4 linked regions of the Astyanax mexicanus genome follow. The protein of the gene in region 1 purifies or fractionates together with the protein of each later gene. This does not show direct contact. Links are inferred from orthologs where the notes say so. Each region holds a gene or a part of one and is shown in the gene's direction. Other genes may lie near its edges.

Region 1 (7,343 bases):
CACAGACAGACAGACACAGCGACAGACAGATAGAGAGACGCACAGACAGAGACGCACAGACAGAGACAGACAGACAGACAGAAATGTGCAGGTTAGTGAGTAGTGGTGAGGTGGTGGTGATCAGGACTCACGGCGGTGAGGATGCTGCAGCCCCAGATGAAGGAGAACAGGTAGAACGCTGCCAGCTGACCCGACTCATTAAACTTACTGTGCTTCGTTTTAGACAAGTGCAGCCGCCGGTTAATCTTCTGCACAGAGAGAGACCAAAACAAACAACATCACATCACAACAAACAACATCACAATAAACAACCACGTTACAAACATCTACACATTAAACACTGCTGGAGTTCAGATACACATCATAACATCTTAACCATGACTCTCCAAACCATCACTGATCATCAGTACATTTTACATTTCGAGTCTGGAGGAAGAGTGGAGAGACACACAGTCCAAACTGCTCGAGGTCTAGTGTGAAGTTTCCACCAATCAGTGATGGTTTGGAGAGACATGTCATCTGCTGGTGTTGATCCACTGTGTTTTATTATCAAGTCTAAAGTCAGTGCAGTTTTGTTTTCCCACAAAATCTTACAGCACTTCATATCTTACAGCTTCCCTCTGCTACTGACAACTTTTATAGAGATGTGGATTTCATTTTCCAGCAGGACTTGGCACACTGCAGAAAGTACCAATTGGTCTTATATATAATATTCTAATTTTCTGAGACACTGATTTTTGGGTTTTCATTGGCTGTAAGCCACAATCATCAACAATAAAAGAAATAAACACTTAAAACAGATCATTTTGTGTTTACTACATCTATATAATATATGAGTTTCACATTTTAAACTAAATTATTAAAATAAATTAACTTTTCAATGATATTCTAATTTTCTGAGATGCACCTGTTTCAACAGATATTAAGGAAACATGCTGAGTTTAAAGCACTATCAGCTTCAGTCAGTAGAGCTAAAGCCAGTATAGTAGTATGTTATGGAAATCTGTGTGTGATTGAGCTTTAGAATCTACAAATCTACCACAACATATAAGTGCAGCTTATTTAGTGCATGTTTATACCTTTAAATTCAGACGATTAAGTAAATACACGACATAATAAAACAAAGATAAAATAAACTGCTTTCAAAAATAGCAAAAATATATTTTTTTTCTATAGTGTAACATGCCAATATTATTATGTATTTTCTTGTGATATATATATTAGTATAGTATCGCAAAATCACAGTATCATGATTTCATTATTATGGTGAGCACCTGTGATTTCCAGGGTTTTTCACACAATTTACACACTATTTTTAAATTAAGCCTCAAATGGCCATAAGATTGGCTTAATAAAATATACACTGACTTAAAACCTCTGCATTAAAGTAAATTTGTTGCATATAAATAACAATTAATAATTTGACAAAGCAGTGCTATCACGTTTTTAAAGATTTTTTGACACAATGTATATCTGGCAGTTGTTCTTCTACAAAACAATTATAATAATAATGTAATTTTTCCATTAATCAAACAATAATTGTCCATTTATCTCTTCTTCTACATGTCAGAAAGCTTTACATATTCAAACACACAGAGAACCCAACCCATCACTTACGTCCAGCACGTATTCCTGGATCAGGGCGTGGAGGATGATGGCGATGAGCAGGTAGAAGAAGACCGTGGCGATGTCCTTCGGTCCGTACTGGTAAAAGTTCACCGGCTCAGGCTTCTCTTCTAAATTAACAATAAACATAGGAGCAAAATGCAGATTTTGCCCAAGACCAAACCAAAGCTGAATGAAGGCTCAGCCAAGATTGACCCAAGCCTTATCCAAGATTAAGCCAAAAAAAAAACAAGGCTCAACCAAGGCTCAACCAAAACTGATCCGAGAATGAACCAAGGTTCAACCATGGCTCAACCATTACTGGTAAAACAAGACTGAACCAAGACTCAAATCATGACTAAATCCAACAGACAGACTCCACCAAGGTTAAACTGAGACTAAACCAAGGCTCAACCAAGAATAAACCAATGCTCAACCAAAGCTAAACTAAGGCTCAACCAAAGCTAAACCAAGGCTCAATCAAGAATGAACCAAGGCTCAATCAAGAATGAACCAAGGCTCAACTAAGGCTCAATCAAGGCTGAACCAAGAATGAACCGAATAGTAATCAAGGCTCAACTAAGAATGAACCAAGGCTCAACCAAAAATGAACCAAAGCTAAGCCAAGGCTCATCCAAGAATGAACCAAGGCTCAACTAAGGCTCAATTAAGGCTCAACCAAGAATGAAACAAGGTTTACGCAAGCCTCAACCAAGACTGAACCGAGTAGTAATCAAGGCTCAACTAGGAATGAACCAAGGCTCAACCAAAAATGAACCAAAGCTAAGCCAAGACTCATCCAAGAATGAACCATGGCTCAACTAAGGCTCAATCAAGGCTCAACCTATAATGAAACAAGATTTACGCAAACCTCAACCAAGACTGAACCGAAAAGTAATCAAGGCTCAATCAAGCCTCAAACCTGACTAAATCAAAAATGAAAAAGGTTCAACCAAGAATTAACCAAGTATAAATCAAGGCTCAACCATAAATTAACCTAAAATGAAAGAAGGCTATAGACCCACCTGATGTTTGAGTGACATTGTACTGGACAGTGATGAACATGATGGCAAACTTTGCCGTTACCTGAAATCAAAAAGCAAATCTTAACGACTACAGAAATACAATACAAACAGAAAAATATTTGAAAATTAAAGAAAAGATTTGGCATCAATTTTATGAAATGGGTCTAGGCTCTTATGGGTTAAAATTGATAAGCTTTCTACTGGTGGAATGGGCACTTATTTGTTTGTTGGGTAGATATGTCTAACTGTGCTATTCAAGAAGAAGGGATTCCAAGCAACCAATGAGAACACCCTGCAAAAATGCAGACCCTTTAAAGCTGTGTAACATAGCACTGAAAGAAATCCTTGTTATTTATGTTAGATCATGATTTTAACCTTAAAATATTTACAGTCATGTGTCCACAATAAGAAACAATCATGGATGAGCTGCTCTCTGAATTTATAAATAGGTCTGTGCTCTTATTGGTTAACATTAATAAGCTTTCTATTGGTGGAATGGGCACTAATTTGTTAGCTATTAAATTATAATCAGATAATTATCTGCCTAAATTATAATTGGGTATCAGTATTGAGGAATAGGTCTGGGCTCTGACTGGTTAATCAAGTGTTTAAATTAGGAGTTTTGCTCTGATTGGTTAATCAGTGGTTTAGCTCTGATTGGGTAATTAGGAGTTTAAATCAGGGATTTATATCTGAATGGTTAATAATGGTTTAAATCAGAGGTTTAGCTCTGATTGGTTAATTAGGGGTTCAAATGAGTGGTTTAAATGAGGGTTTTAGTATTGATTGGTTAATCAGGGGTTTAAAACAGGGGTTTAGTCTCAGTTTAACCGGTTTAAACCCGGATTAAAGCTCACCTCGAACATCAGCCCCAGCAGGATGATCATCGCCACACACGAAACCATATCGGCGTGATTCTGGATCACAAACTCGTGGCTCAGAACCGGGGGGCTCTTGTTCTTCTTTCTGAAGCCCATGCTGGAGCTGCGCGCGCGCGGTAATCCGGGTCAGAAGCTCAGGTGTGCGCAGGTAGAGGGTAATGCAGGTATTGAGCTGAGAGTGGGGGGGGGTAAGTTTGGAGGATCTGCTGCTGCTGCTTCTCCCAAAGCTAACACTACACCAGCTGCCGGAAACGTACAAAATAAAAGCCACTTCGCACAATAAAGGTCTCCGTACAAAATAAAAGTCCTTTACCGGAAAACGAATACATAAGAGGCGCTGTATAGAAGCATTAAAGAAAAATATTTGAATTAGTTTTTGTATTGGTTAGTTTCATTAAAACAAAAAAGAAAAATATGTATCGTAATGTAAACTTGCAGACTTGTATGCTTGTATATTAAAAAACTATTTCTCAATGTAATAATTTATTTCATATTTCATGTTTACAAGCATTTCTTTATTCATTTCATTATATAATACTGTCACAAAAATAAAAACTAAACTTTATTTACGTTGTTTAATAGACAGAATCGGTTATTGTTGATGCTCTGAATCTACATTTACAGTGCTTTTAGGTGAAAGTGGTTCCCACTAATAATTAATAATAATAATAATTATTATTATTAGAAGTAGTAGTAGTATTCTACACTGCAAGTCCACAGTACTGGCTATGAAATATGAAAATAGAATACAAACAGGAGATACATATTTTATATAAGTAATTTTTTTGTTCTGACTCTTATTTTGAAGTTTGTCGAGCTTTTGAACCGGAAGTTTTTAGTGTAGCTGGCGTTGTATGAACGGTGTGTGTTTGGATCTGTGTTTATTTACTGTATTTAATATTTCCTCTATTCTCTGCACTGCAGCAGTAAGTCCGGGTAAATCCGCTTATTAATTAAATCTGTTTCTATTTATTAGATAAATAAATGACTTTATTTTTTCAGCGCCGGTTAATATTTAACTATAATAATTCTACCACTCTCTTATAGATTACTGTAGATGTACATGTGTGTTCAGTTTAGAGAGAGATTTAGTTTATTAAAAGCTTTACTCACATGTATTTCGTATTATTTCACTGTGCTGGAGCTTTATTTAACTGTTCATCACTCATTAAAAGATGTATAGATGGATGGATGGATGAATAGATAGGTGGATGGGTAGATGCATGTGTGGATGAATAAATAGATGGATGAGTAGATAGATAGATGAATGAGTAGATGGATAGATTAATGGGTAGATTAATGGGTGGATGAATAGATGAATGAGTAGATGGATAGATTAATGGGTAGATGAATGGGTGAATGAATAGATGAATGGGTAGATGGATAGATGAATGGGTTGATGGATGGGTAGATGGATAAATAAATGGATGGTAGATGAATAAGTAGATAAATAAGTAGATGAATGGCTAGATGGATGGGTAGATGGATATATGAATGGGTGGATGAATAGATGAATGTTTAGATGGACGAGTAGATGAATGGATAGATGGATAAGTAGATGCATGGATGAATAGAGGAATGTTTAGATGGATAAGTATATGAATGGTCAAGTAGATGGATGGATGAAAGAATTGATTGATGGATGGCTAGATGGGGAATTGATAGATTGGTGGATAGATGGGTAGATGATGGATGGATACATAGATGGGTGGGTGAATGGATGGATGGTATATGTGTGGATCAGTTAATGGATAGATGGTAGATTATAGATGGATGGATGAATAGATGAGTCTATGATAGATTGGTGGATAGATAGATTGGATGCATGGATTGCTTAGTAGCACCGCAAGCATCGCCTGGTCCTTTTCCAGTGTTCCAATTAATATACCAGCAAATATCTGTTAAAAATATGTAGATGATGATTCTAAAAAAGTAAAAGTAATTATCGTCCAGCACCGATCTAAGTGTTTGATGTGGTGCAGTGGATAACACCACCTGCCTTTGAGCTACTATATGGGAGACTGAGGTTCAATTCCAGGTCTGGGTACAAGTCCTTGGGCAGGACTCCTAACAAAAGATTGGTCCACCTCTGTAATAGAAATAAACCTATAGGAATAAGTTGTTTTTTGTAATTATTATAAGATGTGCTTGAACTTCTGCTCTGTTTCTTCAGGAATGGCAGAAGCAGGAGCAGACATGGACCCTGAGGTGGCTCTAGGACTGTTTGAAGAAGGAGCTACGTTGGTTCTGCTGGGCGTTCCTGAAGGAACAGAGCTGGGTATCGACTACAAGAGCTGGCAGGTGGGTCCCCGGTTCCGCGGGGTGAAGATGATCCCCCCCGGGATGCACTTTCTCCACTACAGCTCTGTCAGCAGTGAAAGCTCTGGTGGGGAGGTGGGCCCCAGGAAGGGTCTCTTCCTCTTCCTGAAGCCCCGGGAGCTACTTCTGGCCCACTGGGACAAACAGGAGGAGGATCTGGACTTCTCCGACTCTGAGAATCCAGAAGACGTTGCTCGAGTGAAGGCGGGGCTTCGTGAGCTGGACTCGTACCTTGGGGCGTACCCCTACGACACGCTGAGGAAGTGGGTGTCTCTGACGGATAAGCTGAGTCAGGAGGTGGCCGTGGCCCTGCAGCCGCTCAGCGGGCGAGTCTGCGCCTTCAGCGACGTCGTTCCCGAGCTCCAGCTGAAGCTCACCAAAGACCGAGCCGAGCAGAACCTTCCCCGCAACGACACGCAGTGCCAGACCATGAAGGAGGGGCTGGACCGGCTCCCCAGGATGAAGCAGAGGGAGGGAACCGAGCTCCGGTTCTCACAGATCCCCAAACAGACGTATCCTCCGGGAGCCACGCCCGCTCAGATCACCCAGTGCAGCATGGACCTCAGCTACGCCCTCAACTGCCTGCTGGAGGACCATCATAAAGACCAGCCACTCAACGTTCTGGGTAGGAATAGCTGTTTTAACTAGTTCTGCTGTATGAATGTTTGGTAACACTTCCTATGAACCCTGTATTCATAATTGCATTATAAATGCATTCATAATGCATTATATGACATGCATAATACCTTATAATGACTGTAATAAGGCTGTATAATAACATAGGTACTAGTAAACTACAAGTATAAAGAAAGGGCTCACACTGCCTTATAATATCTGTATATAAGAACATCATACAATGTAGTGTTGTACCAAAATATACCATATGTGTTATAGTGCATTACAACACTACGTTGTAAAATGTTCTTATGAACAGATATTATAGGGTTGTAAGCCCTTTCTTCATAAACCCTTATACTTGTAGTTTATAATGTGTTATGAATGTTGCTGTAAGTACTTACAAGTTATTATACAGGCTTATAACAGTCATTAGAAGGTATTGTGCATGTCATACAATGCATTATGAATGCATTATGAATACAGGATTCATAAAAAGTGTTACCGAATGTGTTTATATTTTGGAATAAAGAGCGTGCAAACATCTCAAAGACAATGGGAGTTATAATTTTATGATAAAAAATAGACTTTAAAAAGTTCTTCACATGAATACATGCCTGTTAGGGATGCTCCAATGTGGGAATTCTGGGCAAATTCCAATATTCAATACTACACATGTAGTGTACCAGTCAAAAGTTTGCCATCATTTCCATTGTAATTGAATAGTGAAGTGATCTAGAATGTGAAGGAACACATAAGGGACTTAAAAGTGTTCAACAAACCAAAATAATTCAGATTGACGGTCATCTTTTTTCATTCATTTTAAAATGTTGTGCTCTGGTGATCCTGCTGTATTTAACAAAGACCAAGAACAAGAGGATCTTAACAGAAGGACACC
Region 2 (6,957 bases), on another chromosome or scaffold:
AACAATGAGATGAAAAGGTAGGAAACCCCTATCCAGAGAGTTTAACCACAAACTAACAGACTGAACTTTCAGACACTGTTTAAGCTTGTGAGCTAGCCTAGCACGATGTACAGGTATTTAAGGTATTTAAAGCTATCTATCTATCTATCTAGCTAGCTAGCTTTCTATCTTAGTTTTAGTGGGCTTCTAACCAAAACCAGCCTTACTGTAGTCCAGTCTATTGCTTAATCTAACCACAGGAGGTCATTTAATCTAATTAAACGTGTCATAAATACAGGAGACTGTCTGTTTTCACCACAAAGCGTCTCTCTCACACGAGCCAGTCCATTCTCTCCGCTCAGACTGGTGTAAATCAGTGTATCAGAGCCGGGGTTTATTATTATGTAGAAGGGTGTTTGGTAAAGCAGGGTTTACCTTCTACATGCGCGTCCGCCGTGTTGGTCATCTCGATCAGAGTGGCATCTTTGGTTTTCCCCGTTATTCTCTTCATTTTCACTGAATATTCCTCTGATAAAAGGCAGGGTTACTGGATCCAGGGCTTCTCCTGGTTGATAAAGGGTTGAACGCGCTCCCTATAGTCCTTAAAGATTCCTACAATCCATTCAGTCCATGCTGAAGCTGCTGAAAGCTCCTCCAGCTGTGCGCAGGAAATCCTCCTGAGATCGAGCAGCGACCGGATTGTGGCTCATACAGAAGAATAGGGAGCGATGTTGGCCTTAAAGGGGAGTGGCTGAGGAGTGGGGGGAGCTACTTTACGTCGGCATACGTGTGTGTGTAAATATGAGGAGGTGTGTGTGTATGAGGAGGTGTGTGTATGGAAGGTTAAATTATGTGCCAAAGATTTTACACAAAATAATAAAATATGCATAACAAATATCTGTATATTATTATATTTGTATGTAATAAAATACAATGTATATTTTCTTTTATCATTAATAAAAAAACATACATTGCTGTGATCTCTATTGTATTTTTATCCCAAATCTCCGTCTCAGCTTATCAGGTTAAGATCATGGGATTGTGGAGGCCAAACACTTTTCAGTTTTACTGTTTACTACATAATTACATATACAGCTCTGAAAAAATTAGAAACTCTTCAGTTTCTGAATCAGTTTCTCTGATATGTGTCTAAGTAAAATGAACATTGTTGTTTTATTCTATAAACTACAGACAACATTTCTCCCAAATTCCAATGAAAAATATTGTCATTTAAAGCATTTATTTGCCATATTTGGCCTCAAATAATGCAAAGAAAACAAGTTCGTTTACATAAAGTTTTGTAAGTTTTAAAGTTCAGAAATCAATATTTGATGAAATAACCCTGGTTTTAATCACTGTTTTAATGCATGGTATTGTGGCGGCTCTGGGTTGTGTGTGTGGCTGCCTGTAGGCATGGTTCTGTTCTCCTGTGTGCAAGGATGACAGGGGTGGGGCATCTCCCTTGGGAGGGGTTATGCAGAGAGGGTGGGCACCACTCTGGATCTGCCATCTGGGAGACACACAGCTGGGTTGGTGGCCTTTGGGCTATTTGAGTTCTGTGGGAAAATGGTTTTAGCTCTCCTAGTCTTGTTAAAGGCTGTAAGTGAGTGGCAAGCCGGTTCAATAAAGGAGCTGTTGAGCGTTCAGCATGAGTCTCACGGGTCTTCCTTCCTCTTCCACGCCACAGTATGTTCTCCTCCACCAGTTTTACACACTGCTTTTAAATAACTCCATGCCACTCCTGATGCAAAAATTTAAGCAGTTCAGCTTGGTGTGATGGCTTGTGATCATCCATCTTCCTCTTTATTATATTCCAGAGGTATTCAATTTGGTAAAATCTATGAAACCTATGCTTTCATGCATTTCCAAACATGGCAGAATAACACGTTTCCAAACCAGTAAACTGAACTGCAAATTTTTGGGCTGTAATTTCAATGACAATACTGTAACATACTGTAACAGTAATATATTCCCTAGCTCTCTCCATGCAAATCACAGTAAAGCAAAAAAAATGTTCCTGCATTTTATCTTGGAATATATTTTTATATTTTACAGTTAGTCTTGTACATTGAATTTGTTGTCTACAAATTGAAAAAAAAAAATAATAATAATAAAATAATAATAATAATTAATATATTTCACTTATATAGAGATTTATTCAGACAAATACACAAAGAAAATACAGTAAAACTATACTTTTTTTCACCAGTGTGCATTTATAATTAGGCAGGTGTGTTTACAGTACCAGTGGAGAAGCCTATACCCCATGTGACCCAGCTGTGATAGATAATTTAAAAGCACATGCTCTTGCAGATCACATCCCTTTAGCACTTTAGCATTATAGCCTCTGCATCACATCTGCTCACATCCCCTCTCAAATCTAAAGCAGCCTAGGGCTTTTCTTTAATGAAGACTTAAAGGAATGATATCTCACTAAACAGCTGGAACAGCTGGCAAACAACAGCTCCAGTGACTGTGAAGAACGGGCAGTGTCTCCCCCTGCTGCATAGAAACCCGCAGTACATGACAGAGGCGCTCCCTGTACCGACCGACCAGTAGTGATGGCAAAAATGGTCCTAGATCTTTTCTGAGACCCTTTTTTATAAATATATATCTTATATAAGAAAGGTCTTTTGACTTGATAAAACACAGTGGATCAACACCAGCAGATGACATGTCTCTCCAAACCATCACTGATTGGTGGAAACTTCACACTAGACCTCAAGCAGCTTGCACTGTGTGTCTCTCCCCTCTTCCTCCAGAATCTGCTCGCTTTTACATTTCATTTACAAATGAAATGTAAAAATTACTGATGATCTGTGATGGTTTGGAGAGACATCTCATCTGCTAGTGTTGGTCTAAAGTCAGTGCCTTTTTCCCCTCAGAAAATCGTACATTTTATGAAGATGGGGATTTCATTTTCCAGCAGGACTTCCAGCACACTTTCCTAGCTGACAAAAGTACAAATTAGTCTTATATAATATTCAAATTTTCTGAGACACTGATTAATGGGTTTTTATTGGCTATAAGCCATAATCTTCAAAAATAAAAATAACCTCTTAAAATAGATCACTCTGTGTGTAATACATCTATATAATATATTAACATCCTTTAACATCTGTAAGAAGCTTCTGTAGATGTTCTACCAATCAATCGTGGCCAGTATTCTCTTCTATGCTGTGGTGTGCTGGGGAGGCAACATGAAGAGGAGAGATGCATCACGGTTGGACAAGCTAGTCAGGAGGGCCGGGGCAGTGGTTGGAATGGAGCTGGACTCTCTGGTTACAATAGCTGAGAGAAGGACTTTGGATAAACTGCTTTCTATCATGAACAATGATAGTTACCCACTTCACACCACCATCATGAAGCAGAGGAGTGTGTTCAGTGGCAGACTGCTGTCACAGAGCTGCACAACAGACAGACTTAGAAAATCCTTCGTTCCGAGAGCCATCAGACTCTTTAACTCCTCTCATCGGGGACGGGATGCTGCTGCCGACTGAGTTTAATCCAGTCACACCACATGGACATTATTCAACCACTTAATTATTTACACTAACACTTCCCCAACCTCACTTACATTCAAGTACACTTTACTCATGATTGAGTATTCACATTTTCACATTCTTTTTTTCTTTTTTAGAACTATCTTCTAACGGATGCATATATATATTTCTACGTCACATCAGTCACTTTCGTAATCAATGTCATTGCACATTGCACTTTACTCTGCACTGCTCCTTTTACAGATAGATCCTTACCTTGTATAGTTAGGTTTTTATAGCCTTATATAATTTCTATTCTTCTGTGTTTTGATTTGTCTGAGTCTTATCTATCTATCTATCTATCTATCTATCTATCTATCTATCTATCTATCTATCTATCTATCTATCTATCTATCTATCTATCTATCTATTAGTATTTTACATGTTTATACTGAAATAAGGTAACTTTTCAGTGATATTTAATTCTTTTGAGATGCACAGGTGTGTCTGTTGTGGGCCAGTAGAGGTCAGTACGCGACTGTGAGTTGATCTGAAGACACGAAGAAGGAAAGGTAAGCGTAGCTGCTGAGCTAGATATGGGAGAAAGTAACGTCTTATATTGGGATTAAACTCCTTTATATAGCTGAGTTATTGCTCTCTGAGTAAAGTTGCTATCTTGGTTCTGTCCGGCAGTTGGAAAGACATAGATTAGTGGTCTGAATTATACCAGAAATCGATATATATACATACAGCTAGCTTAGCTGTTAGCCTCCAGCATAGCTAACTTAGCTAGCTTAGTCAGATAACTAAGTAACTTACATGCTGTGAAGGATAGTGAGGTTAGCAGGTTAGATAACTAACCTACTGCCGTTAAATACTAGATATAGACATTTCTTGTCCATTTTAATTGTGTTTTTGTGTGTTTGTATTGACTAAGCGTATACCTTTTTCTATTCCATTTAATGTTTTCCTCAGATTTGCCTTAATATAGCTGTAGTGATAACTACAAGTAACGTTAACTTAGATGTTTTTGTTGACTAGGAAAGAGCTGGTGTTGTGTCGCGTTGTGCTACCCTGATAAACCGTGCTACCCAAGTGAATATTAACAGGCAAAAAAAAAAACACCACATTAAAAAATGCTCCCGGTGTTCTGTCGAGATGTGCTACCAACCAATTTGTGCTTCTTACAACCATTGCGCATGCGTATGCCCACATTTTTAAAAATAGTTTTCTTTTTTTGTGTTTTTATGTTAAATCTGTTTTACTTTGTCGCATTTAATAAGCAGAACCAGCTGCCAGAGTGTTACACACGTGTAAAGTTAATAATAAAGCTAATAAAGTTAATCATACAAGTAATAATGAGACAATAAATAACAAAAAAAGAAACTGTTGTTCCCTGTTAACTGTTCCCTTCAGGCATTCCAAATATCCTACCAAAACTTCTGCTGGGAGCTTTTCAAAAAACTGTGCCTTTCTGGTATTTTAACAAAATACCAGAAATAATAAATAAATAACAAAAAAAAGAAACTGTTGTTCCCTGTTAACTGTTCCCTTCAGGCATTCCAAATATCTAGGGCTGGCCCGAATAGCGTTTTTTTGAGCTCCGGATATTCGGCACTGATTCGAAGCGAATATTCGAATATTCGTTTTTAAAAAAAGAGGTAAAAAAAAATAAATAAAAAAAAAGCAAATCACGGCCCCTTTAATCCACTGAAAAATGTTCAATTTGCTCTGACCGACGAGACATATTCACCCCGGATTTTTGGTGTTTTTATCCCCCATATTTTTTCTGTGTTTTTAGCTCAGATTTCTTTGTGTTTTCATCCCGGAATTTCTGCTGCCCCACACGCGGCTTATCCGCTGCGTAAGCAGGCTAGGAGGCTGCTGCACGGTTTCTCCGCTGTGCAAGCCAGCCCAGTAAATTGCTGTTTGTGTTTTCACACTTAGGCTATTTGCTTAAAAAAACAAACAAAAAAAACGTTTGTTCAGGAAGTATTTTATATTCTTAAACATTGGTAATTATATTAGAGGACAGTCATTGTAAACTGTACTTGGTCTATTTCGGTTAAAGGATTGTGCAGGGCATATTACTGATTTTGTATTTTTGCACTTGGGCTATAAGCTCAATATTAAATATTTCGTTTGTTTAGAAATTATTTTATATTTTAAACCATGTTAAATTATATTAGAGTAGAGGAAAGTCATTGTTAATGACGTTATTGTACTTGGTCTATTTCGGTTTAAGCATTGTGCAGGGCATAGCCGTATTACTGATTTTGTATTTTTGCACTTGGGCTATAAGCTCAATATTAAATATTTCGTTTGCTTAGAAATTATTTTATATTTTTAAACCATTTTAAATTATATTAGATAAGAGGAAATTCGTTCAGACATCATTTTTGTAGGCCAGGCTTTTGTAACCGATTTAGCCCCTACTGTTGCCACATTACCCCTTACGTTTTATTATATAAATCAGTTTCGAAGAGCCTGCATTTTTTTTTATCATGTATAATAGAGGTCTGCGCGAGACTGATTTTTAAACCCACTCTTCCACGCTCCCGCGTTTCTGTCTCGTTACCGCTCCGCAAAAAAATTGCTTCTTTTAATCCCGCGCCCGCCCGCCACATAGTGCGGTCCCGTTCCTTACCCCAGTCCAAACACCATCGGTGTGTGCGTGTGTGTGTCGGTCCATCCTGCGCGTTGAGAGTTTTCTTTAGGTTTTTTTTTTTTTTTACAATTATTACAGTTTTCTTAACTATTTATTAATTTGCTCCCGCATCGTCTGGATTAAACTCCCGCTCCAGCCAATAACAGTTCAGTTCTGTCCCGCGCGCAAGATATTCTGACGGGACCCGCGAAAACAGAAGTGGTTAGAGTGAGGTGGAACTCTGGAAAGGAGAAAAAAAACGAATATCCGAATACCAAAATTAAAAACCGAATACCTACTCAACGAACGAATATCCGAATACCCGAATATTCGGGTCCAGCCCTACAAATATCCTACCAAAACTTCTGCTGGGAGCTTTTCAAAAAACTGTGCCTTTCTGGTATTTTATCCTAATATAAAAATAAGTATAAACTAAGGTAGCACCTTTTCACAGAGTAGCACAACTCGGCAGAACACCGGTAGGAGTCTATGTTAATATCCTGAAAGGCTATATCACTGTATCGGGCATAGGATAGAATCAATTTTTCAACTTTTTTTTTTTTTTTTAGTTTCTAAATATAATTTTACTACTTGGATACTTTAGGGGTTTTATTCAAAGTGGTTAACTAATCCTTTAAATGTGTTTTTTTTTTTTTTTTTTTTTTTTGTTACCTTCATATCTTAGGTAGTGTCTGCATCGTATCCTCACATCCAAGAACTGGCTCACAACTCAACACTATGGCTGTGCTGAGACTCGATGGCTCTTCCCAGAAAGTGATAATCTTTTCCGAGCAGGAAATCTCGCAGAATCTGTGAGTCTTCAACCCCAGTAAGATACCAGCGTGCACA
Region 3 (7,063 bases), on another chromosome or scaffold:
TGTCCTCCCCCACACACACACCTGGGAGTTGTAGCAGCGAGCGATGGCTCCACTGCAGCGGCAGCTGACTCTGAAGGTGGGGCGACTCTGACCACTCTCACTGCTGTTCTCCTCCTTCTCTCCTTCATCCCTCTTTCTTTTCTGACCCCGCCCCTGAGGGCCATTAAGCTCCGCCTGCAGGGAGGTCCAGGACTTGAGGGTGTGGCTCCAAACATCTCGATTTCCCACAATGCTCTGTTTTATTACGTCCGCTGCTTTCGCTGAAGAAAGAATTTTCAAGAGTAAGACATACTTGTGATTGACCTAATATAGGTGTGAGAATGTATCGATACAGCAATATATTGTATAGTTTTCATTATCAATATATGCCATTAAATACTGAATTAATGTATTTTGGTTTTAATTTTTTTCTCCTGTAAGCTTATGTTACACAGCTTACAGTTTACAGTAGTGTAGTTGTGTTTTAAATTTATTTATGGCAGTTTGTGGCTATTTTACAACACTGGAATAATATTAATGCAATAAACGGAAAAGTTGCAGTAAGCGTTTGTGTTGTGAATCTGACACCAATAAATCCATATTTTACCCTTTTCAGTAACACAGATGTTCTGTATTGTATTGGAAAGAATATTGTTGAAAAGTTACTTTATTTCATTAATTCAGTTATATATATATATATATATATATAGATGTATTACACACAGAGTGATCTATTTTAAGCGTTCATTTATTTTATTGTTGATGTCAGTCAGAGTCTCAGAAAATTAGAATATGTATATAAGACCAATTGGTACTTTTGGCAGTGTGGGAAGTGTGCCAAGTCCTGCTGGAAAATGAAATCTGCATCTCCATAAAAGTTATCAGCAGAGGGAAGCATGAAGTGCTGTAATATTTTTTAGGAAAACACTGCACTGACTTTAGACTTGATATAACAGAGAGTACCAAAACCAGAAGATGACATGACTCTTCAAACCATCACTGATTGTGGAAACTTCACACTAGACCTCGAGCAGTTTGGACTGTGTGTCTCTCCACTCTTCCTCCAGACTCTGGTTCCATGATTTCCAAATGAAATGTAAAATTAACTGATGATCAGTGATGGTTTAGAGAGTCATGTCATCTGCTGGTGTTGATCCACTGTGTTTTATCAAGTCTAAAGTCACTGCAGTGTTTTCCCCAAAAATCTTACAGCACTTCATGCTTCCCTCTGCTGACAACTTTTACAAATATGCAAATTTTATTTTCCAGCAGGAATTGCCACAAAGCCCACACTGCCAAAAGTAGTAATTAAGTCTTATATAATATTCTAATTTCTAATAAGAAGTAACTACAAATCTTGCGCATTTAAGTTTGTTGCACACCTGTATGATGCGAGCAGCACACCTGGATTTTTGGGCAGGGTAATGGGAGGAGCCTTGCGCAGCAGCAGGAAGAGCCTCTCTGCAGATTTTAATAACATCAATTGCTGTAGAGTTGAAGTGCAGCGGAAAAACACTCGGCCAGGGATATGCTCCACCTAACACACAGACACACAAGTAAAAGGTTCATTTATCAGAATAACGATGGTTTAAACAGTTTACTAAATATCATATTCTCTCTTATTCTGTCACACCACATGCCGTTTTAGTGATATATTTTAATAAATAAGTATTTTCTTATAATTACAAAACATTGTGTCATAATTACAAAAATGTATAATCATAATTGCAACAGCAGTATCATAATAACAAGCTGTAGTCTCATAACATTGTGGCCCAAACTCCCATAAAAAAAAGCCCTGAAATGTGTAAATTTAATTTCAACCAGAAATTTGTAACCTAACTACAGCCCACAATTTTTAAGCTACAAAAACACATTTCAGCAGAGTTGTAGAACCAAGCATATATGCTTATGATTTATAGTTTTATGATTTATATTCATAAAACTATCCAACAGTCTTTTGGGCAGAAGTTTAGCCACTCTTCATTTTAGCTAAAAGTTTGTGGACACTATTAGCTAAATGCATTTGCATTCCGCCATTCAGCCAAATGTTTTTGGACTCCAACACTTAGCCAAAAGCTTGTGGAACTGCAATCTAAGCAATAATATCACCAAATAAAAAAATATATTAATTTTGTTGCAGTAGTATGTTCTTGAAATAATATATATTTTGTAATAATAAATATTGACATTATTTTATAATCATATCACCCACCCCTAATTATTACATAACATCATGCTAATGTAATAACACAATGCTGATTACAGTTTTTTGCTTTCCAGTAATACACAGCTGTAAAAACTGTAGCTATGTGTTTATAATAAAGTGGACAGTGAGTAGTGTACGGTGGCAAGGACTTTAAAGGTTTGAACTGTGGTGAGCTTAATGCGGTTTAACTCGTTTTAACACCACTGTAAATCTGGAGTGTGGTGAGTTTAATTCAGTTTTAACACCACTTCCTATTTGAAATGTGCTGAGTTTAATTCAGCCTAACCTTACTTTATATCTGGAGTGTGGTGAGTGTAATTCAGTTTTAACTCCACTTTCTATCTGGAGAGTGGTGAGTTTAATTCAGTTTAACTCAATTATGACTCCACTTTCTATCTGGAGTGTGGTGGGTTTAATTCAGTTTAACTCAGTTTTAACTCCACTTTCTATATGAAGTGTGGTGAGTTTAATTCAGTTTAACTCAGTTTTAACTCCACTTTCTATCTGTATTGTGGTGAGTTTAATTTAGTTGAACTCAGATTTAACTCCACTTTCTATCTAGTGTGGTGAGTTTAACTCAGTTTTAACTCCACTTTCTATCTGGAGTATGGGGAGTTTAATTCAGTTTAACCTTGTTTTAACTCTATTTTCTATCTGGAGTGTGGAGAGTTTAATTCAGTTTAACTCAGTTTTAACTCCAATTTATATCTGGAGTTTGGAGCCTAATGCAGTTTAACTCCACTTTATATCTGGAGTTTGGAGCCTAATACAGTTTAACTCCACTTTATATCTGGAGTGTGGAGCCTAATTCAGTTTAACTCAGTTTTAACTTCACTTTGTATGTGGAGTGTGCAGAGTTTCATTCATTTTAACTCAATTTTAACTCCACTTTACATTAATTCGGGTTAAATCAGTTTTAACTCCACGTTATATCTGGAGTGTGGGGAGTTTAATTCAGTTTAACTCAGTTTTAACTCTACTTTACATTAATTCGATTTAAATCGGTTTTAACTTCACTTTATATCAGGACTGTGGGGAGAACTCTGTAAGTTACCTCAGTAGCTTTCAGTTTGTTTTTGACTTCATCCAGCAGGAAGGTCTCCATACCGCCGCCTGCAGTGCAGTAATACCCCGCCGAGACCCCCGCCCCTCTCATCATCAGCTCTACACAAATAAATATACTGAATTAATACAGATTAAATCAGTCTGAAGGATCTGTCTGATGTAAACAAGAACGCATGGGCTCTGCAGGACATACAGAACCATACAACATCCGGGTTAGACTAGGCGACCTGCCAAAATAAAAGCATTAGTTAGGAATACAGTACCAGTCAAACGTTTGGACACAACTTTTTATTTAATGTTTTTCTTTATTTTCTTTATTTTATATATTGAAGATTCAGACACAAACATAAATTCACACCTTAGATCAGAAGATGTTGATGTGCTGATGGTTCAGTGTGGATGCCATGTGAAATCTTAGAAATAAAAAAAAGTAATATAGAAAGAGAGTAATGGATATAAACTTTTTTTTTTCTTTGCATTATTTGAGGTCTGAAAGTTTTTTTTTTTTGTTGTTATTTCAGCCATTTTTCATTTTCTGAAAATAAATGACAATAAATATTTTTATTTGAAATTTGGGAGAACTGTCTGTAGTTTATGGAATAAAACAACAATGTTAATTTTACTCAAAAATAGACCTTAAATAGCTAAATCAGATAAACTGTTTCAGAAACTGAAATGGTCTCTTATTATTTAATTTTTCTTCCAGAGCTGTACATCTGAGCTGCATTTACAATTTTATCTTTGCGCTTGCAAGAACTTTTAATTTGACACCGGACTCTTTCTAAGCTGGTGAGTAGCTTTAGGTTGTGTGTTGTGCGCATGTGCAAAACATCAAGCCTGCGTTCTGGATGAGCTCTACATGTCTGATGGAGTGAAGTAATAAACAGTAGCGTAAGTGAAAGCTTCTTAAATCAGCCGGTTTTGAATCCTGCTCACTTTATAGACACGTCCGAACTTTTAAGACGCCTCTGTATCTTTTAGAACCGAGTTTATACTCAGGTTTTTCTTGTTGGAGTCATCAGTTATGATGTTAACTAATAACGTTACTGCATGACTAGCTAACTGCTAAAGGAACATGATCAGGTTTATTGATAAAGTTTATTCAGATTTTTCTCTTTAAAAAAAGCGATGCTGGAACAGATGCTGTTACTGCTCGATGTGCACAAAATAATACATTCTGACATTAGAGATCAATGTTGTTTCAGTGTATTAGCGATGGAAAAATTAACTTTGCTGTCTGGGTAATATATACATGTAACTTACATTACATTTATCTAGCAGTGTTATTGTACAATTCGTATAACTCCTAAATAAACTGTTCTATTTAAACAGATAGAATAGGGTAGAAAAGAGCAGCCATTTCTCCAGAGAATGTGGACATTCTCATCTCCTCAAAAAAAAATTGAAAATATAAAAATAACAGTTGTTTTGTCTAGCCTCAAATATGTTAATAGTTGTGGTACCTTAAGGAGCATCTTTCTCTTAGATAAAGTTAATAATATATCTTTTGTTAAAGAAAAATTGTCATTCTCAGGGACCGAAAAAGTCTTAAAGTCTTATTTTTCATGCTTAACTGTTATAGCAGGATAGAGTTCAGTTTGTTAAGGCTCTAATTGTTCTATTATTTTGTACATGACTGTTCCTTTTTTTATATATATTTTTTGTTGCATTATTATGTTGCATATTGCTGTTTTAATAGTGCACACTGCTGCTACCAAAAAAGCCACTAGATGGCATTACATATATATCTTAATTGAATTATTTAAATTTGACCATTAGTGCCTAATGTGGTGTATTACAGATCACTTGTATCAATTCGTATCACTTATATCGAGCCCACCTTTTGAAATAAGATATTGTAAAGTTGATGAATCAAACCAATGAATGACCATAGACTAATCTAAAACTGGCATAGGCATCTCTGCTGTTAAAAAAGAAAAAAGAAAATCGGAAATAAAATCGAATCGAGTATTTAGAGAATCGTGACACCCCTACTGATTACTGTCTTATTTTGATAGATTGCTCAGCACTACCAACCACTGTGATGGACCCTCTTAAGAAAGTGCCTGTGCCTGAGGATGTGGTTCACTATAGGCTCTTTCTAGTCCAGCCAGACTCTGCGGCCAGTGAACAGACCCTCCTAAAGCTTCAGGAGGACCTGCTGGCTGAAGTTGCTCCTCTGTTGGTGCAGTACATTTGGCAGCAGCAGCCGTTCAACCTCAGCTACCGTCCAGAGAAAGGTAGGAGCCTACAGCCTGAGTTTTAAATGCTTGTTGTTGTTGTTGTTGTTGTTGTTGTTGTTGTTGTTGTTGTTGTTGTTGTTGTTGTTGTTGTTGTTGTTGTTGTTGTTTTTTTTAACAAATTATCGGTTAGTCAACACTGACATTTGGAGTCAGCAAATTTAAAAAATCGACGATGTTGCAGCTCTACAGTAATACTACTGTGTATTCTTGAAGTGAACTTTGAGAGTAGTGTACACAAGGATGTACCCATTATGACTAAAGGAACTTCACAATCCACTAATTAATGTCATGTTTTATTAGAGTTGCCATGTGTCTGTTTATTAAACAGTGCTAAATCTGTTTTTTAGGGGGAGTCCCAGCACACTTGGGAGGCAGCACAGAGTTTGGTGATAACGTTGAGGACGAGTGGTTCATCGTTTACCTGCTCAAACATCTTACACGCACCTTCAGTCAACTAGCCGCCACTGTCCATGACAATGACGGCCAGTTCCTGCTGATTGAGGCGGCCGAACATCTGCCCAAATGGCTCGACCCCGACAGCAGTGAGAACAGGGTAAGCATAGAGGAGGTATTATGTTTACTGTGGTTTGCACAAGTATTCATACCCCTTGAACTCTTTCACATTTTGCTACCTTACAACCACACACTTAAATGTATTTTATTGAGATTTTAATTGATACACCAAAACAACGTAGCACATAATTGTTAAAGCAGAACACGAGATTCATACATGGTTTTCAAAATTCAAATAAAATCTTTGATGTGCAAAAGTACTGCTCTGAAACCCCCTAAATAAAAGTAACTTAATTTGTTAATTAAGTCCAGCTGTGTGTAATTTAGACTCAGTATAAAAAACACCTGTTCTTTAAAGGCCTCAGTGGTTTGTTAGAGAACACTAATGAACAAACAATATCATAAAGGGACTAACCAGACAGGTCAGAGGTAAACTTGGAGAGAAGTTTAAAATAAGAGTTAGGCTATAAAAACATATCCCAAGCTTTGAGCACCCAAGGAGCACTATTCAATCAATCATCCTAATATGGAAAAGGTATTCTACAAGGAAAGCAAAATCATTGTAGAAAGAAAGAGATAAGAATTGCTGTTTGCACTTTTCCACATGTCATGTAGCAACACATCAAACATGTGGAAAAAGGTACTGTGGTCAGAAAAGACCAAAGTTAAACTTCTTTGCCTACATGCAAAGCACTGTCGTTGTGGAAAAGTAACACTGCTCATCACCCTAAACAAACCATTCCCACTGTGAAACGTGGTGGTGTCAGCCTCATGCTGTGGGGTTGCTTTTCGTCAGCGCGGACAGGGAAGCTGATCAGTGTTGATAGCAGGATGGATGAAGCTAAACACCAGCAATCCTGGAAAAAACAACTGGAGGCACTTTTGCACATCACACAGATTTTTATTTGGAAAAAAAATTGAAAACCATGTATCATTGTCATTACACTTCATAATTATATGCTACTTTTTGTTTGTCCATCACTTGAAATCTCAATAAAATACATTTAAGTTTGTGGTTGTAAGATGACTGTGAGAAAGTTCAAGTGGTATGAAT
Region 4 (7,347 bases), about 31 Mb from region 1:
CCTCTGCCAATTTAGTTGTGATTTCCCTGGTGGAGCGTTATTCACTCTCTTTGTGTTGGGTTGGAAGTTGGAGGCTGTTGACTTAGCAGTTATTCATATTCTCTCCTGTTATAAACAAAGCTTGTTTAGGACAAATAGGTTTTTTCTGACATAGGTAACATAATATAATCTTATTTTATAATTAGCACTTTTGATAGTTTGTGGACTAAAATTTATTAACAATAATTATTGTTACATAGAGCTGATTTACATAGAGACCCTATACAGTGTTGAATTTACTCTAAAATACACTGTGGGACCATATGTTATCCAGGGCAGTGTTAAATTTAACTCGGTTAAGGTTAATTTAACACTATCAAGTTTACTGTTCAGTAATATTTTTCTTAATTTGGTACAGACGCTGTATAAACTTATACACTATACTCTATCTCTCTTAGTTTATCACATTTATCACATTTCTACAGTAAACTCTGCCTTGTGTTTCTATAGTGCAGCTTTACCAGGATGAAACAGAGCCACAAAGTGGAGGCATAGCTCGCGAGGTCTCGAGCATTCTGCTCACATGACCACGTGGCAACGAAAACAAAAGGAGAACTCGCCTCAAAGCCCAGTTTCACTCTGAGTGCTGGTGGGCGGAGATTCATCCTGCAGAATCGACTCTTTTAAACGGACCGATTGAACCACAAGTCTGATACGCTGACATCATCCTCTCTATATGACTCTGATTCTGATGACCCTTACTTTTAATTGTTCTGTGTGCACTAAAACACTCAGAAAATAATAACATTTATGTATTTATTATATTGTTATTTTTAAGTTTTTCGGAAAAATCTATTTAATTTTTTTTTTTTCTGATAAAGCTGTTTACAGGGCAGATTGGTTTTGATATGTAAATGTCACTTTATTGTAAATAATGAAATATTATTTACACAAAACAACATTTATTTTTTAGTCGAACAAATTTTCTTATATGTTTTAGTAATAAAACAATATGTGTCTGTTATAAAGTGTAAAATTAAAAAGGCATTTAATTTGATGACCATTTTATGACTTAGTGATGCCAAATATTAAAATGTACTATAAACTTAAACAAAAAGATGCCTGTATTTTACTAACTATGTGTCAAATTTGGAATCCCCAAAAATTAATACATTTCTAAAATATTTCAGATTGTTTTAATATGTTGTATTATTGTTTTAGACTGTTTGAGTTATTGATGTTATTGAGTTATTGGAAGTTTACTAGAATCGCTAATCTTCTGAGGACTTTGACTCTAATGAAGTGAATCAAATTTTGTTTTTTAGTCAAACTGAATTTCTCTTTAAATGTTTTGGTAAAAAATAAGGAATTATATTTGCTGACCATTTTGACTTAATGAGCGCAATTCTTTTTTTATAATTTAAAAAAAAATAATAAATAATATTTTACACAAACAATAACTGTACCTTTACTAACTAATTATACTAACTAATCATCCTTGCAATTCCCAAAAATCTATTTTTATTATAGTATTTATAGTATTTTGTAAGTTATTTATTAGAATTTTACCAGAATCTTATGGAGAGTTTTGACTCTTATGAAGTGAATCGGTTCAATCACGAGTAAAAAAAGGATGGAAGCCTAAAATCACGAAACGAAACATAGCTCAGTAAAAGTTTCTCTAAAAGCACATCCTCATGTTTGTGGGTCAGACAGCTCTATAATACAGCAGGATGTCTGTAGTATGAAGTATAATATAGTAATAACGCTGAGTCTGACTCGGAGCAGCTCTATACGGTGGTGGTGCTGGTGGTGGATATACGGACCTGTGTAGAAGAAGCCCGCCTGCGCCAGAGTGTCCGGCTGGACTGAGGCCCCCGGCGGCCAGTTTTGAAAGGTGGTGAGCCGGGTGTCCTCGGCCTCCATCTCCGGGTACACGGCCTGTCCGACGGAGACCTGCTCGTCCACCCCCATCCTCTGGAGCTGGCTGAGCAGCTGCCCGTCCACCGAGTCCGGAGAGCCGGGGGGCCGGGGGATGTTCCCCACGCTCCGCCCCAGTATGAAGCCGCAGGTCGGGAAGTGTCGCTTGTGTTCTCTGAGCGGCTCGTCCCCGCTGACCCAGCACCGCAGCACGCCGTCGCAGCAGAAGCACTGCACCGTGTCCCCGTAGCCCAGAAAGTAGAAGCCGGCCCGGGCGAGGTCCGCCGGGCTGACCGGGGAGTCCGTGGCCCAGTGCTCGAAGCTGCGGAGCCGCTCCTCCTCGCTGTGCATCCCGGGGCTCAGTCCGGGGCTTAGTACGGGGCTCAGTTCCCCGCCGCCATGCTGATCCTCCGTGCCGCTCATTCCGCTCCCGGTCCATAACGGACCATTCAGGTACGGCCCGAAGCCCCCGCTGGCCATATATCACACAGCACAGCCTGTGACCCGAGCGAGCGCGCGGCACCATCCGGAGTTCTAGAACAGAACCAACACAGATCCCCCCCCTAACAAACACACACACAACACAGTGTATAACACTCACACACTCTACCACACACACACACATACAATACCACAATAACACACACGCGCCCCTGCACACGTTTACTAGAGACACTCAAACACAACACACACACACACACACACACTACAGTTTATTTTTATTAATTAATAAACGTACGGATTTGTTTGTTTGTATACATATGGCAGGGATGTCAGGGGGAATGGTAAACGTTTAAAAAACTTTTGAGAAGAAGTTTTGGCATAGATAGATAGATAGATAGATAGATAGATAGATAGATAGATAGATAGATAGATAGATAGATAGATAGATAGATAGATAGATAGATAGATAGATAGATTAATTAGAATCATAAAAAATAACACTAATAAATGATAAAAAAATAAACGGTTAAAATAAAATACAAAGGTAAAACAGAAAATAAGATAAATAAAAATGAAAAGGCCCAAAGGTAGAGCAGAAAATAAAATAAATAAAAGGACAGAATAAATAAAAAGGTAAAAGGTCAAAAACAGTTACAAGCTGTCTTAAATTGGTTAGAAATAAAAAAGTTTTAAATAATTTGGATACTTTCTCATTCCATTACTTTCTGGGTCATTATTAGAATACTGTGTCTTTTTGTCTCAAAACCAACAGGAACAATATGTAGTCATTTTCTACTTTCTTTTTTTTACTTTAAATTATGTTTTACTGTGTTCTAAAGAAAATAATGTGTCAACACGGTTTCATTTAATATTTCATTGATTTAACACTGCTCTGTCATGGTGTTTGAAGACACATTATATAATATTTTCCTATATATCTATTTACTTTAATGTACTGTTTAATGACTTGCTGCAACAAAAGTCAAAAAACTGCCTTACACCCTCACAACAGGTCGTTATGTTTGGTAAACATGGTAGACATGTATTTTACAAAAAACAAAACTACATATTGTCCGTTTAACAAAAGTTTTTCAGCTTTTTCACTTTTTTTTTTATTTAATGTTTTATTTCCAGTCATGCATGAGTCCATCCTGTTATGGCAACAGTGTGACATGAAGGAGGACAGTGACAAGGTGGACAATATTGCTTTAAATTGTTAAATTTATAAAAACATGATTGACCTGGATTTGGGGACATGCTGAATTGTTCACAGTGACTGTTTATTTTAATTTTCTAAAATGATTTTACTTCCCGTGATATTTTACCACAACAGTATGATACTATTTTACCAAAACCAGTATCATACTGTACCAGTCCTGTTTTATCAAAACAGTATGAAGATATTACTGAAGTCTAAGTTATTTTTTTTAAAGAGCAGGGTTATCCTTAGATGACATTGTGGGAATGACAGAGAATTCTCAGACATGTTTAGATAGCTTCATATTTTATGAAAATATCTAAATAAATAAAGTCCAATATATTATATAAAAAATATATATATATATTTTTTTATTATTTATAATATATTGGACTTTATTTATTTAGATATTTTCATAAAATATGAAGCTATCTAAACATGTCTGAGAATTCTCTGTCATTCCCACAATGTCATCTAAGGATAACCCTGCTCTTTAAAAAATATATATATTTTTAATTGTATTATTCAATTTATTAAAATAATTATTCAATTTACCCAGAGGTCTACCCACCCTCACTTCGAATAAAACTGTATCTAATGTGCAAAAAGTACTGATAAATCTCGAAAAAAAATATATATTAACAAGTTAGGACTACTGATAATTAAAATAAGATATTTCGGTGTAAAGTAGGAGTGTGTTTATTCCCTTTGTGTGCTTTATATTGCTATACAGACACAGATTTGGAAGACTAAAATGTTTTGTTGCTTTAGGTTCCAGTGAAGAACTTTCTTTGATGGACTACATTTCCCATGATCCTCTACAGGAAGTTCGTCACATGTTGATGTCGGAGAGTATGGCGGCTCAGTGAAACGAACGGTGTTCGTAAGCGTGTTGTTTCTTCAGCAGAAATGTAAGTTATTGAGTTGAACTCGGTTTGACCGAGTGTCGGAACTGCGGGCTCTGTGTGGAGTTACTGCTCGTGTTTTAAAGGTGGTGAAAATGACCGTGCAATTAATTACAGCGTTTCCCCGCGAGCGGTGCAGCTTAGCTAACGCTAACTAGCTTAGCTAAGGCTAACTAGCTTAGCTAACAGAGCAGCGGTAACCCAACTAACGTTACCACGGCGGATAAACCGCGATTATAAATACATTATTCCTGTATTTCTGTAGAAATTATAGAATTACCACGTTTTACTGTCGGGTCTGTCCGAGTTTACCTGGTTAACTGTGACCCGTTTTCTCTTAATCTAAGTGTTCGTGCTGATAATGAGTGTAAAGTCAGGATATGCTGTTTTAAACTCGTGTCGGATAAAGTTATCGCTAGCGGTTACGTAACATAACTATCGTATTAATAACATTTTCTTTCCGTTAAATGTAAATGTTAATATTGTTACTAACGCTACATTTGGTCCAGTAATACTACACAAAGTTAAGTGTGCTTAGTGGCCGGTGAAAAACAAGCTCTGTAGCTACTAACTCAGTTAACCTAACGTTGAAGTGTTATGGGAGATCATTTACTGTTAGGTAAGCTAAGCTAACGCTATATGTCCTGTAAATATTATTATCTTTATTGTGTTTTGGTCCACAGACAAAATTAACCGGGAATGTCAGATTCTTAAAGCTCTCATTCCATCGTTTTTGCATCAATTTTAAAATGTGTGGTTGTGGTCTCTAGTATAAATGAATGCCCTGTGAGCTGTTTTGTGTGAAAAAGTGCTCTGGTGATCAGGTATAACGCTGCTTTAGTCAGGTGGAGGGTGGGGGCTGGAAAGATATGATTTTGGCTCTTGCTCATGAAAGGTCATACATGCAAACATATCGCATCTGATTGGCGACCAGCACTGCGAGGCAGTAAGGCAGACAACAGTTAGAAATGTTTTAAAATAAAGTTATTTCTACACTAAAAACAGTCTTTGTAACGTCATATGTTACTCTACTGTAATGCCCTGCTAAGTGTAGTTAAGCCACTTACCCAGACTTAGAGTCTCTGTACAACGCCAAATCCACCGGAGATCCTATGTAAACATTAATGTATTCAAATACTCTTTAATATTTAGTACAATGATTTGTTTAGGTTAACATTTTTGCTGCACATGATTTAACATATTTTTTAAACTCTCTTTAATTAAATGTACACTTGGGTCAGAGTTCTTTATCAATACAATAAAAAAAAATCACAAGATCACAATACGATGAAATATTGATATATTGTCCAGCATAACTGTGGCCAGTGTCGGCCAATTGTAGTAGTGTGGCCAGTGTTGAAACCTTGCAGATTTCTTTTGTTTTGCTTTTTTGTTGTACTGATAATACTCAGATTATCAAACAAACTGTAATATCAGGCAAATATAACCGTAGTAAATATAAAAAAAAATAATTTAATTTAATTTAATCTTTTAGCTGCTTCATGTTATCAGAAAGGTTCTATTTAAGTGATTTTTTGATTCTACAGGTCTGGTAGTATTCAGGCCTGGTTGTGGTTAGTGAAATTGAACACAGCTTTCCATGTGATTTATGGGGAGCTAGATTGGTTTGGATAGTTATTTTCCCTTAATAAATGAAATCACTATTTTAAAAAGTGCTTTTTATATTTACGTAAGTTATATTTGTCTGATATTAAAGCTCACCTTCCGTCGTTTTTTTCTTTCATTTTAAAATGTCTAGTTGTGGTCTCTAGTATGAATGAATGACATGTGAGCCGTTTTTGTAAAAAAAAAGTGCTCAGGTGTCTCTGTATAGCTCTTTTTTAATGGACTGTTTTAGGGGTGTGTCCAAAATGACCGGATTCCAGCTTTGCTCATGAATATTCATACATGCAAACAGCATGCAAATATCTCTCCTCTGATTGGCTAGGAGCACTGCGACGCCCCTCCACCGCTCTGCCGCTCACTGCCTCCCACCTCCTAACTGATGAGCTGTGATGTTGCGTCGCTTCAGCTCCGCCTCTGGGAGTTTCTCGAGCCAAGGTGGGCTGGTCTGTGAGTTTCTGCCTACGTAGGCAGAAAGATAATTCAAAATTCACCCGTTTTTCGGAGGGGGGGAGGGGGGATTTCTTTGCTTAGCTCCTGCAGACAATGGGGGCTGCAAAACAGTTTAATGTGCAGGTGTACACATTCAACTCGGAGAGACCTACTGTATTCCACAAAAAACAAGAAAAATCGGATTTTCGCGGAAGGTGACCTTTAAAGTTTATTTGATGATCTGAAAAATTTAAGTATGACACAAAAATGCAAAAACAAAATAAATTTTTATGGGGTAAACAGTTATTTTACGCCACTGAATGTTTTAATAGTGGATTGTAGATTGTGTTTTAAACACCATTTTAAACACCATAAGGGCTGCAGTCTACTTCTAAATGCTTCAATCTAATCAATACATAAAAAAAAGACAGACAAAAACACTAGGGATGCCTCGATCCGTAAATGTAATTGTGATTCGGGGCCGGTCACGTCATTTTCATAGGATCAGAATCAGGTGGAAAAGATCCGCATTACTGATGCTCTCATGTGGTGCTCCCATGGGTGGAACGTGAATTAGGTGGAGGGGAAAAAAAAAAAAAAAAAAAATATATATATATATATATATATATATATATATATATATATATATATATATACATACATACATATATATATGTATATATATATATATGTATGTATATATATATATATATATATGTATATATATATTTTTTTTTTTTTTCGACCAAAAACATTTGAACAGAAATCATTGTTTACTTGCACTCCAGAGATGGACCATAAAGGATTGACTATAATCTGCTTTAAATATGGTGGATAACTTGCTGG

Evidence for each region. The genes of interacting proteins can lie anywhere in the genome.
Region 2: the proteins of aar2 (region 1) and tssc4 purify together in Homo sapiens (affinity purification with mass spectrometry; 3 studies listed by BioGRID and IntAct, counting the BioPlex papers as one, with this or other methods). This does not show direct contact. The link is inferred for Astyanax mexicanus from reciprocal best matches to the Homo sapiens genes AAR2 and TSSC4.
Region 3: the proteins of aar2 (region 1) and ecd purify together in Homo sapiens (affinity purification with mass spectrometry; 3 studies listed by BioGRID and IntAct, counting the BioPlex papers as one, with this or other methods). This does not show direct contact. The link is inferred for Astyanax mexicanus from reciprocal best matches to the Homo sapiens genes AAR2 and ECD.
Region 4: the proteins of aar2 (region 1) and ddx23 purify together in Homo sapiens (affinity purification with mass spectrometry; 3 studies listed by BioGRID and IntAct, counting the BioPlex papers as one, with this or other methods). This does not show direct contact. The link is inferred for Astyanax mexicanus from reciprocal best matches to the Homo sapiens genes AAR2 and DDX23.

The regions. Positions count from the first base shown.
Region 1 is NC_064420.1:47,567,082-47,574,424, forward strand, and holds the start of aar2 (protein AAR2 homolog), read left to right. Parts: upstream 1-4,342; 5' UTR 4,343-4,365; coding exon 4,366-4,447; intron 4,448-5,684; coding exon 5,685-6,455; intron 6,456-7,343. UniProt on the Homo sapiens protein: Component of the U5 snRNP complex that is required for spliceosome assembly and for pre-mRNA splicing.
Region 2 is NC_064430.1:8,175,778-8,182,734, forward strand, and holds the start of tssc4 (protein TSSC4), read left to right. Parts: upstream 1-3,932; 5' UTR 3,933-4,033; intron 4,034-6,791; exon of another isoform or gene 6,792-6,793; 5' UTR 6,794-6,846; coding exon 6,847-6,920; exon of another isoform or gene 6,921-6,937; intron 6,938-6,957. Other genes in the region: anoctamin-5, read right to left, coding at 415-490. UniProt on the Homo sapiens protein: Protein associated with the U5 snRNP, during its maturation and its post-splicing recycling and which is required for spliceosomal tri-snRNP complex assembly in the nucleus.
Region 3 is NC_064421.1:32,506,638-32,513,700, reverse strand, and holds the start of ecd (protein ecdysoneless homolog), read left to right. Parts: upstream 1-4,038; 5' UTR 4,039-4,144; intron 4,145-5,271; 5' UTR 5,272-5,297; coding exon 5,298-5,493; intron 5,494-5,843; coding exon 5,844-6,049; intron 6,050-7,063. Other genes in the region: thumpd2 (THUMP domain-containing protein 2), read right to left, coding at 22-260, 1,384-1,516, 3,243-3,347. UniProt on the Homo sapiens protein: Regulator of p53/TP53 stability and function. Inhibits MDM2-mediated degradation of p53/TP53 possibly by cooperating in part with TXNIP. May be involved transcriptional regulation. In vitro has intrinsic transactivation activity enhanced by EP300.
Region 4 is NC_064420.1:16,722,081-16,729,427, reverse strand, and holds the start of ddx23 (probable ATP-dependent RNA helicase DDX23), read left to right. Parts: upstream 1-4,322; 5' UTR 4,323-4,452; intron 4,453-7,347. Other genes in the region: birc7 (baculoviral IAP repeat-containing protein 7), read right to left, coding at 1,806-2,379. UniProt on the Homo sapiens protein: Involved in pre-mRNA splicing and its phosphorylated form (by SRPK2) is required for spliceosomal B complex formation.